2 linked regions of the Mytilus edulis genome follow. The protein of the gene in region 2 interacts with the protein of the main gene of each other region in a pairwise test. Links are inferred from orthologs where the notes say so. Each region holds a gene or a part of one and is shown on either strand. Other genes may lie near its edges. The genes, in order: U6 snRNA-associated Sm-like protein LSm4 and U6 snRNA-associated Sm-like protein LSm1.

The links.
Region 1: the proteins of U6 snRNA-associated Sm-like protein LSm1 (region 2) and U6 snRNA-associated Sm-like protein LSm4 interact in binary tests that used the Homo sapiens proteins (3 or more experiments, as listed by UniProt). The link is inferred for Mytilus edulis from reciprocal best matches to the Homo sapiens genes LSM1 and LSM4.

Annotation. Positions count from the first base shown.
Region 1 is NC_092344.1:91,104,367-91,108,305, reverse strand, and holds the start of U6 snRNA-associated Sm-like protein LSm4, read right to left. Parts: upstream 3,137-3,939; 5' UTR 3,024-3,136; coding exon 3,021-3,023; intron 533-3,020; coding exon 491-532; intron 1-490. UniProt on the Homo sapiens protein: Plays a role in pre-mRNA splicing as component of the U4/U6-U5 tri-snRNP complex that is involved in spliceosome assembly, and as component of the precatalytic spliceosome (spliceosome B complex).
Region 2 is NC_092347.1:87,966,787-87,970,725, forward strand, and holds the start of U6 snRNA-associated Sm-like protein LSm1, read right to left. Parts: upstream 2,313-3,939; 5' UTR 2,204-2,312; coding exon 2,158-2,203; intron 285-2,157; coding exon 216-284; intron 1-215. UniProt on the Homo sapiens protein: Plays a role in the degradation of histone mRNAs, the only eukaryotic mRNAs that are not polyadenylated. Probably also part of an LSm subunits-containing complex involved in the general process of mRNA degradation.

The sequences.
Region 1 (3,939 bases), on a different chromosome or scaffold from region 2:
GCCGCCGTAGCCGCCGCCGCCGCCGGATCACTATCCCTATGTCGAGCTTTCTGCAACAAAAGTTGCAGGCTCGACAAAAATGAGTTCCTATTGTTATATGTATATGTAACTTTTGATGTCATCTAGAGACGTAAATAATTGGGACTGATACATCAAAATGAGTTCCTATTGTTATATGTATATGTAACTTTTGATGTCATCTAGAGACGTAAATTATTGGGACTGATACATCAAAATGAGTTCCTATTGTTATATGTATATGTAACTTTTGATGTCATCTAGAGACATAAATAATTGGGACTGATACATCAAAATGAGTTCCTATTGATAAATGTAACTTTTGATGTCTGTCTGTGTCACTTGTAAGACAGTTTAGCTCCAATTATAGTATCACAGATGATACTGATAAACTTAACAGAGAAGAACAATGTCAGACTTTTCAAATGATAGTTTTAGTTGTTTTACTGAAGAGAAAATTTTGAAAACTTACCATAGGGTGATTTACAGCAGTCCTCAACAGGGACAAAGGCAACTGAAAAATAAAACAGAGCTTTACTGACACATAATGATAATTTATTCACTCTGTAAAGTTTTATTTACATTTGTATCCAGGCTCATATATTTAACACAGGGATCTGACCACTGAAAAAAAGGTTTCATCAACAAATCATCTTTATACACATGTATAACCTTTTAAAGTGGTCAACATGATGGTAAAGGATTTTGGTAGTCACTGTCAAACATAGATACATGTACTTTTTGTATGTGAAAACCTCACAATAGAAGTTAAAATGTATACAACTCTGTCTATTGAAGTTTGCAAATATTCTGTTTTAGCTTTCTAATGAAAGAAATTATGTTTAGACAAGTATATTGCAGAGTCCGAAAATGTCATTATTTTCGTATGTTGCATTAAGGTTGGCAAAAGAGTATTGCCCAGCCCAGTGGGAAATACTGGGAAAACCCAGGTTTTACTGGGTTTTACATGGTAACACTGGGCAGTGATTAAACACAAATGCAATACATTTAAAATATTTATAAACATATTTTGTTTATAAATAAGTTAACTTGTTTGAGATTCTTATAATACAAGTGTATACATTTGAGAAAGCATTATTTCAGCAACTACAATGTATGAGAAAGGTGTACATGAAGACACATTCGTGATATTAGGCAAATATTAATGAAAAAAGCCTTTCTCAATAATTCTCTACAAAATCTATAACATGTATATGTACATCACTAATTAATAAGTAATTATTCAGATTAGACACAGATATGTTTACATAACAATAATCAGCCTTTTCATTTTTATAAGTATTAATGACATGACCCTGTCGGGTGTTTATTTAGCAATATGATTGCAAAGCATTTCAAATTTAAACAATTAAATACTTTATTTCACACTACAAAATGTATGTATGTAAGCAATTTAAAACAACAATCATGATATTCTAATTATTCAAGACAACTGGACTTTGATTTTAAATTGGGTGCGAACGTGTAGGGTGCGAACAGACCTTTGATGCGAACATGCCAGGTGCGTACGCAGGGGTGTGGAAATATTTGTTGTAAGCACTTGTCCCTGGGCAAGTAAAACTATAAATTTTACCTGTCCGGAAAAAAAGTTACTTGCCCTGATGATCCTAATAAATATTGAAGTATTTCTTGTTAGCTAATATGTGATTCTTACTAAGCACTGTTGTGCCTGACAAACAAATGAAATCCATTTGTCTATATGTGTAAAAAAAAATTAGGAAAGTAAGAAATTGGTTAACATCAATGGGACAGAAATCTAACAGCAAACCAACCAATGAACAACATGTAAAGGACAATTTTGCAGCAGTTTTTGAATAAAGATTGTAGCCAGTTGGTACATATACTCAATTTGAGGAGTGGACAGTAATTGAAGAAATGCAAACTAGTAAATAATAGTTAAACTATTGATGTTGTGGTGTTTCTCTAAACTGACACTCTTGTTCTAGATTATTTATTATTGTCTTGATGAGCAATTAAAGAGTCCCTTCTAATTTGAAACTTCGACAACACATAATATTGACCTTTCATCAATAAATAAGACAAAAACTTAATTTATTTTGCGAATTTCCATCCTAGATAGCCAGCGGCAAACTGATATCCACAATGGCTGAAATTCTCTGTTTTTTTATATTTTAAATACTCTGTGTTCTCCATTTGCGTTTAAGGTTTTCTACTCGACTCATTACTCTTTTTGTCTTACTTGCCCTGCTTTTTATTAAGTGTTTATCAATCTGAATTGTAATATTATACAAAATTGAAAGAAATGACACTTCCGGTAAATGATGGATAAAACCTAATTGATGATTCCGGCTCAATGGACAAAGCCAATGCAATTTTACGTGACTCCGGTTCGTATACTTATTTTAATTTATTTTGGTAATCAATCTATTTCCGGTATTATGTAATGTTTATCGTCATGAACATTGATGTTTTTACTTGCTGACCATTGGTTTCTTTTACATAAATTAAACATTTTTATACGTTTTGAAATCAATTTTATATTTTTGTTGGAATTGAACTTTGTTTTGTATATTTTTTTACTTGTCCATGGGCAACCAAGACAAAAATAATTACTTGTCCGGTTGTTCAAATGTACGAGTCGGGCATAGCATTTCCACACCCCTGGTACGTGTAGGGTGCCAAAATGTATTGGGCGCGAACAGACCTGATACCCTATTGCCTAGCCCAGGAAAATCTGGTTTTTCCCGCCTGGGTTTTCCAGGGCGGGTAATACTTTGCCAACCATGTGTTGCATACATTGGACAATGTTGAATTGATTAATTGAGGTTTCCTGAACGTCCAGTAACAAATACTTCATGCCCGTTTCGGACGACAGTGTTGTCGTTGGAAACTCTCTCTAAAATTGTGAGTTTTCAATTGAATAGTTTACTTTAACAAGTACAAAACATTTCTTGTTCTTAATAAAGAAGCTAAAACATAAATTCATGTACAAATAGGCCAGTTAAATGCTAAATTGGTACCATTTTCTGAATCGAAATTTCTACGAATTTGCCGGCGCATTTATGGTATGGTTGTGAACCTGAATATAAAAGAAGAACGAAATGTACTAAATTGTTTGCTTGTTTATCCCAATATTCAAATCATTTTCAATTTAATTTTATTTGCATTTAATGATCAGTAATCAAAATTTATAGATAATAGGCAATTTCGGTTTTCATTGACGACAAAATCATGTTTTATAAGACATGTATTTTTGGTTTGCAGAGAGATTTATTTTTTTGGTTTACGATAGTTAGTCGTTATACATTGACAAGTAATAATACATTAAATCAAATATGATTCAATGGTTTTTTGTCTTATTAAAGCTGCATCAAACAGTTCGTCACAATTTTATTAACTTAATTATGTAAATTGAAGAGGCAAAACCTTTTTTATTTTTGTTCAACTTGAAAGTGATGATTTCTATGTTATCAATGGCAACATTTTAAAAATGATTCTATAAACACTGATCAGAGTTCACATACCCGTAACGGTGCCAACGCATAGGCGGATCCAGTTTATGAATGTTATAACATTTCTATACTTATATGTATTTTCTGACATCTTTATGAATCATCCCATTTGATTTTTCAATCGTTAAAAAACAGCATAAAAAGAGTTGATGTATGACGCTTTACCAGTACAGTTATTACTTGCATGCGCTCTTCGAGGTTCGCGTTTTAGTATAGTTGTTGCTATGGTGCTTTCTTTGAGGTCCGCGTTCCCAGTATAAATAGTGAATAGTTACTCAGTTAAAAGTCGTTATTTGTACCGAATATAGTGAACGTAGAAGATTAGCATCATGCATGTCAACATTTGTTATACCCGGTGCTGAGAACAGTTTATCTAAGGCAGCAACCATTTGATTTTCTGGGGGTGGGGGGGTGGGGGGGGGGGGGG
Region 2 (3,939 bases):
ATGGTAATTTATATGCCACCTTCTAAAATTTAAATATAATGTCCCAGTTTCTGTGTTCATAAATAAAATGTCCTGGTCTCCAAACAAACACCGGAAGTTTATCACATTTTAAAACTTAGATAATGAGTATATATTCACACAAAACATGGAACTTAGTCTCAAAAAGTTGACATCAAAAGACAATAAGCCAGGTGGAACAGAAAATAAATACAAACCAAATTGGTCAATGCTCCTGAGAAATCCAATTAGTGTTCTGCCGTCTCTTAGTACAACTAGTAACTTCTCTGCAATATTAAAGAATAACATTTGTAGTTTCTGTTAAAATAAGCACAATTTAAAGAGAGATAATACTGGTCCAGAAGACACACCTACATGACCTATTTACATGCAGTTAAATGTTTAATGCCACATTATATCAAACTGCAGAAATTTGGGAAAATAGAACATACATGTACACCAATTGCAAAATCCTTTACTTTAAAAAATACAAAATTTGAACAGTTTAGCTTGCACATTACCCTGTTCTGGTTGCACATGTCATGATGTGTTGATAGACCCTAGCATGTTATATGATTTCATGCAAATTTGTTTAACATGTTTAACTCATTCCCAAATAAAATTTATTATATTTTAAGGAGATAAAATATTTTAATTTTATTATGTCTGTGTATACATGCATGTACAAATGTATTTAATAAAATGATTCTTAAGTTTATGCAATATATAAGTAATTAATTTTTACTTCTTCAAGTAAAAACAATACTTGTACAAGTAGTACCCCTCAGGCCCTGACTTTCATATAAATCTGCTGACTTCATGCCCTTTCACATGTAACACCTGCATCATTATCATATAATAGTACATTGTAGTTCAGCTTAGTTTTTGAGCACTAATATAAACATGATAAATGCTTCTTTGTTCTTTGTCATGCATGAAATTATAACCCATGTCTGTATATCATCAGATTAAAAGTTAAAAGCCTTCAATTTTCAAAAGGGAGGATATTTGGAGGGCATCTTCTTCATGATCTTTGTATTTTTCAATTTAACTGCATTTTTATTATAATTTGAAGGGGAAATGTTGCAATTTTGAATTCTTATGCAGTGGCGGATCCAGCCATTTTAAAAAGGGGGGTTCCTAACCTTGGACAATGGGGGGTTCCAACTATATGTTCCCATTCAAATGCATTGATCGGCCAAAAAAGGGGTGGGGTTCAACCCCAGGGCTCTGGATTTGCCACTGTTATGAATATCTGCGTCACGTTTGTCAAGGCAGTTTTAAAGATGAAATACAAAATTCAAATGCTTATCACTATAAATTGATACCCAATTGTGGGTATAATACCCATAATTAGGGATAGTACATAATCTAGATAGTAACCATTTTATCAGTCCAAATAATTATGACGTCTTGAAAGGCTATTATATGGGGACGAAGTCCCCAATTACGGTAGAAAAATCAATAAAAAAAAAAAAAATCAGGAAAATTTCCCGGATTTTTCATTCTACTAATGAACTCAAAATCGTTAACTTTTTTTTTCAGATCTACTTCCTGTTCCGGTTTTCTCCGCTTTTGCGCAGATATCTGTCTTGTTTGCATGAGACTTTGAAAAAATTTATATTTATCAGTCTAGTAAAATATAAGATTGGATCTCAATACAAATTCAATTTTAATAATTGTTTGATATGAAAAAAACGTTACCTGATGAAAGCGTTTCTTTTGTTTACATCGAATATGACGTCATAACTTAAAGAACGTCACAGCTAATTCCCTAACAACAGAATCAAAATCGTGAACGTTACGTACGGTATTTCGGTTTCTTTTATCAACGTGATTGAATTAAAAAAATAATACATACAGGCTTCCGTCCCCATTCACAGGTTATGCCTGCCTCATATTATCTTTTTTCTTTGACGCCTTACATCGGTCTTGAAAGGCTTTTATTTAATTTTTCGATGTAAGGAGTCAAAGAAAAATATATAATAGCCTTTCAAGACGTCATAATTATTTGGACTACCATAATTTTTATATGGGGATTCTGTCCATGAACATGTTCACGTTTTGACCGTTTTCCTTTGTTCGACATGTCGTATTTTTCTTTTAAAAGTTAATTCCCTTCAACTTATTTGTCTATATTATGAATGTTGACAAACATACTATCTATTTCTTCAATTAAACTTGCGGTGCCAGGTAGGTAACTCATTTTTCACATTTTTTGCAAAATTACAATTTCAATGATCGGTGTTGTTAATTGCTTCCGTGTACTAGTATAAATATCATGATTCCAAACGCACGAGTGACAAAGAGGACAGTCAAGTCTAATACCATAAAGTTAAATATGAAATACTAGATAAAAACGAACAATAAAAAAAATGCTTATTTTTATTGCTGTATAAAAAAATATTTTCACGTTTGATAACATTATAATTTCTTGCATTTTAGGTTATATTTCATTTTCACCTAATAAAAAGAAATGATGGTATGTCGAAAAAAGAATCATTGAATATCAATAAATGTTATTGACATATTGAGGCCGTATTCATAATTAAACTTTTTGAGTTATTTATTCTTTTCGCTTGACGATGGTTGATGGTACGAGGAAATTTCTTATGGTAAGGCTTATATAATAATTATTATTTATATAATTTATGAATACTGAACTTGAACATTTATTGGTCAAATAAGATGTATGTGTACCTTCTACTGTAGTCGGTATAAAAAATGTGGTGTGATTGCCAATGAGACAACTCTCCGCAAGAGAAAAAAAAGACACAACAATTAAGAATTAAGAATAGGCCATTGTGCGGCCTTGAACAATGAGTAAAATCAACACCGCATAGTCAGCTATGAAAGGCCCCAAAATAACTAATGTAGAACAACCCAGAGAGAAAAAACCAACCGCCCTAATTAATGTACAAAATAATGAACGAAAAATGTTTTGAAATACCCGGCAACAATCGACAACCACTGAATTATAAGCTCCTGACTTGGAGCACATACCGAGACTCAGTCAGTATATATGGCGATGGCTAAACTAGTATGAGAAGGCACCCAAACTCCCGGCCTAACCCGAGACAGTACAAAATAAGAACAAACAATAAAAATCAATTAAAAAGGGCCAAACCCAGCATAAATACACCTGTCCTCACAACAACAAAAAAAAACCCAAACATATCGGACGTGGCTGAATATGTGAGCCAAAATTTGTTCCTGTGAAAAAAAGTTCCAGTGGAACTAATATCACTGACAGGAAATATGTTCTGGGAGAACTTTTTTCACAGATGATTTCTATATAATTTGTTCCATTTCTATAGAATAAGTTCCACACTTTACATGGTGAAATAAGTACCGGGTTTGTGAAATTGTTCCTTCCCTAGTGAAATAAGTTCGAGATTTATGAGATTTGTTCCTTACCTGGTGAAACAAGTTCTGGGTTTGTGAGATTTGTTCCTCACCTGATGAAATAAGTTCCTTGTCTGTGATATATGTTCCACTGGTTAAACAAGTTCTCTTATATAAGCATTTGTCATCAATGAGTTTAAAGTTATCATTTAATTGCATTACAAAAATAAGTATTATATCACTAATAAAAAAGTAAAAAGTGTAAATCATCAAATTCGGATCCTGTGGAGTGTGACATCCTACAACTAAAATGCAACAAGTACTAATCAGGGTTAAGTAAAATAAAAACTGAGAGCTAATCCAAACAGAAAGCCGATAACAACAACAAAACATCATGCATATACGACTATAATATCAATCAGTACATGTCCAATACCATATGGATTTAGTGTATCTATATAGACGTCATTAACATGTAGAGAAAAACACGACCTGGCGCAATGCAAAGCTACAGGTATCAAAAAATTGTAGAGCCATGAATGTGCATATGTATATAAAAATAGTATTTAGTTTGATTTTGAGGGATAACAAAATCAC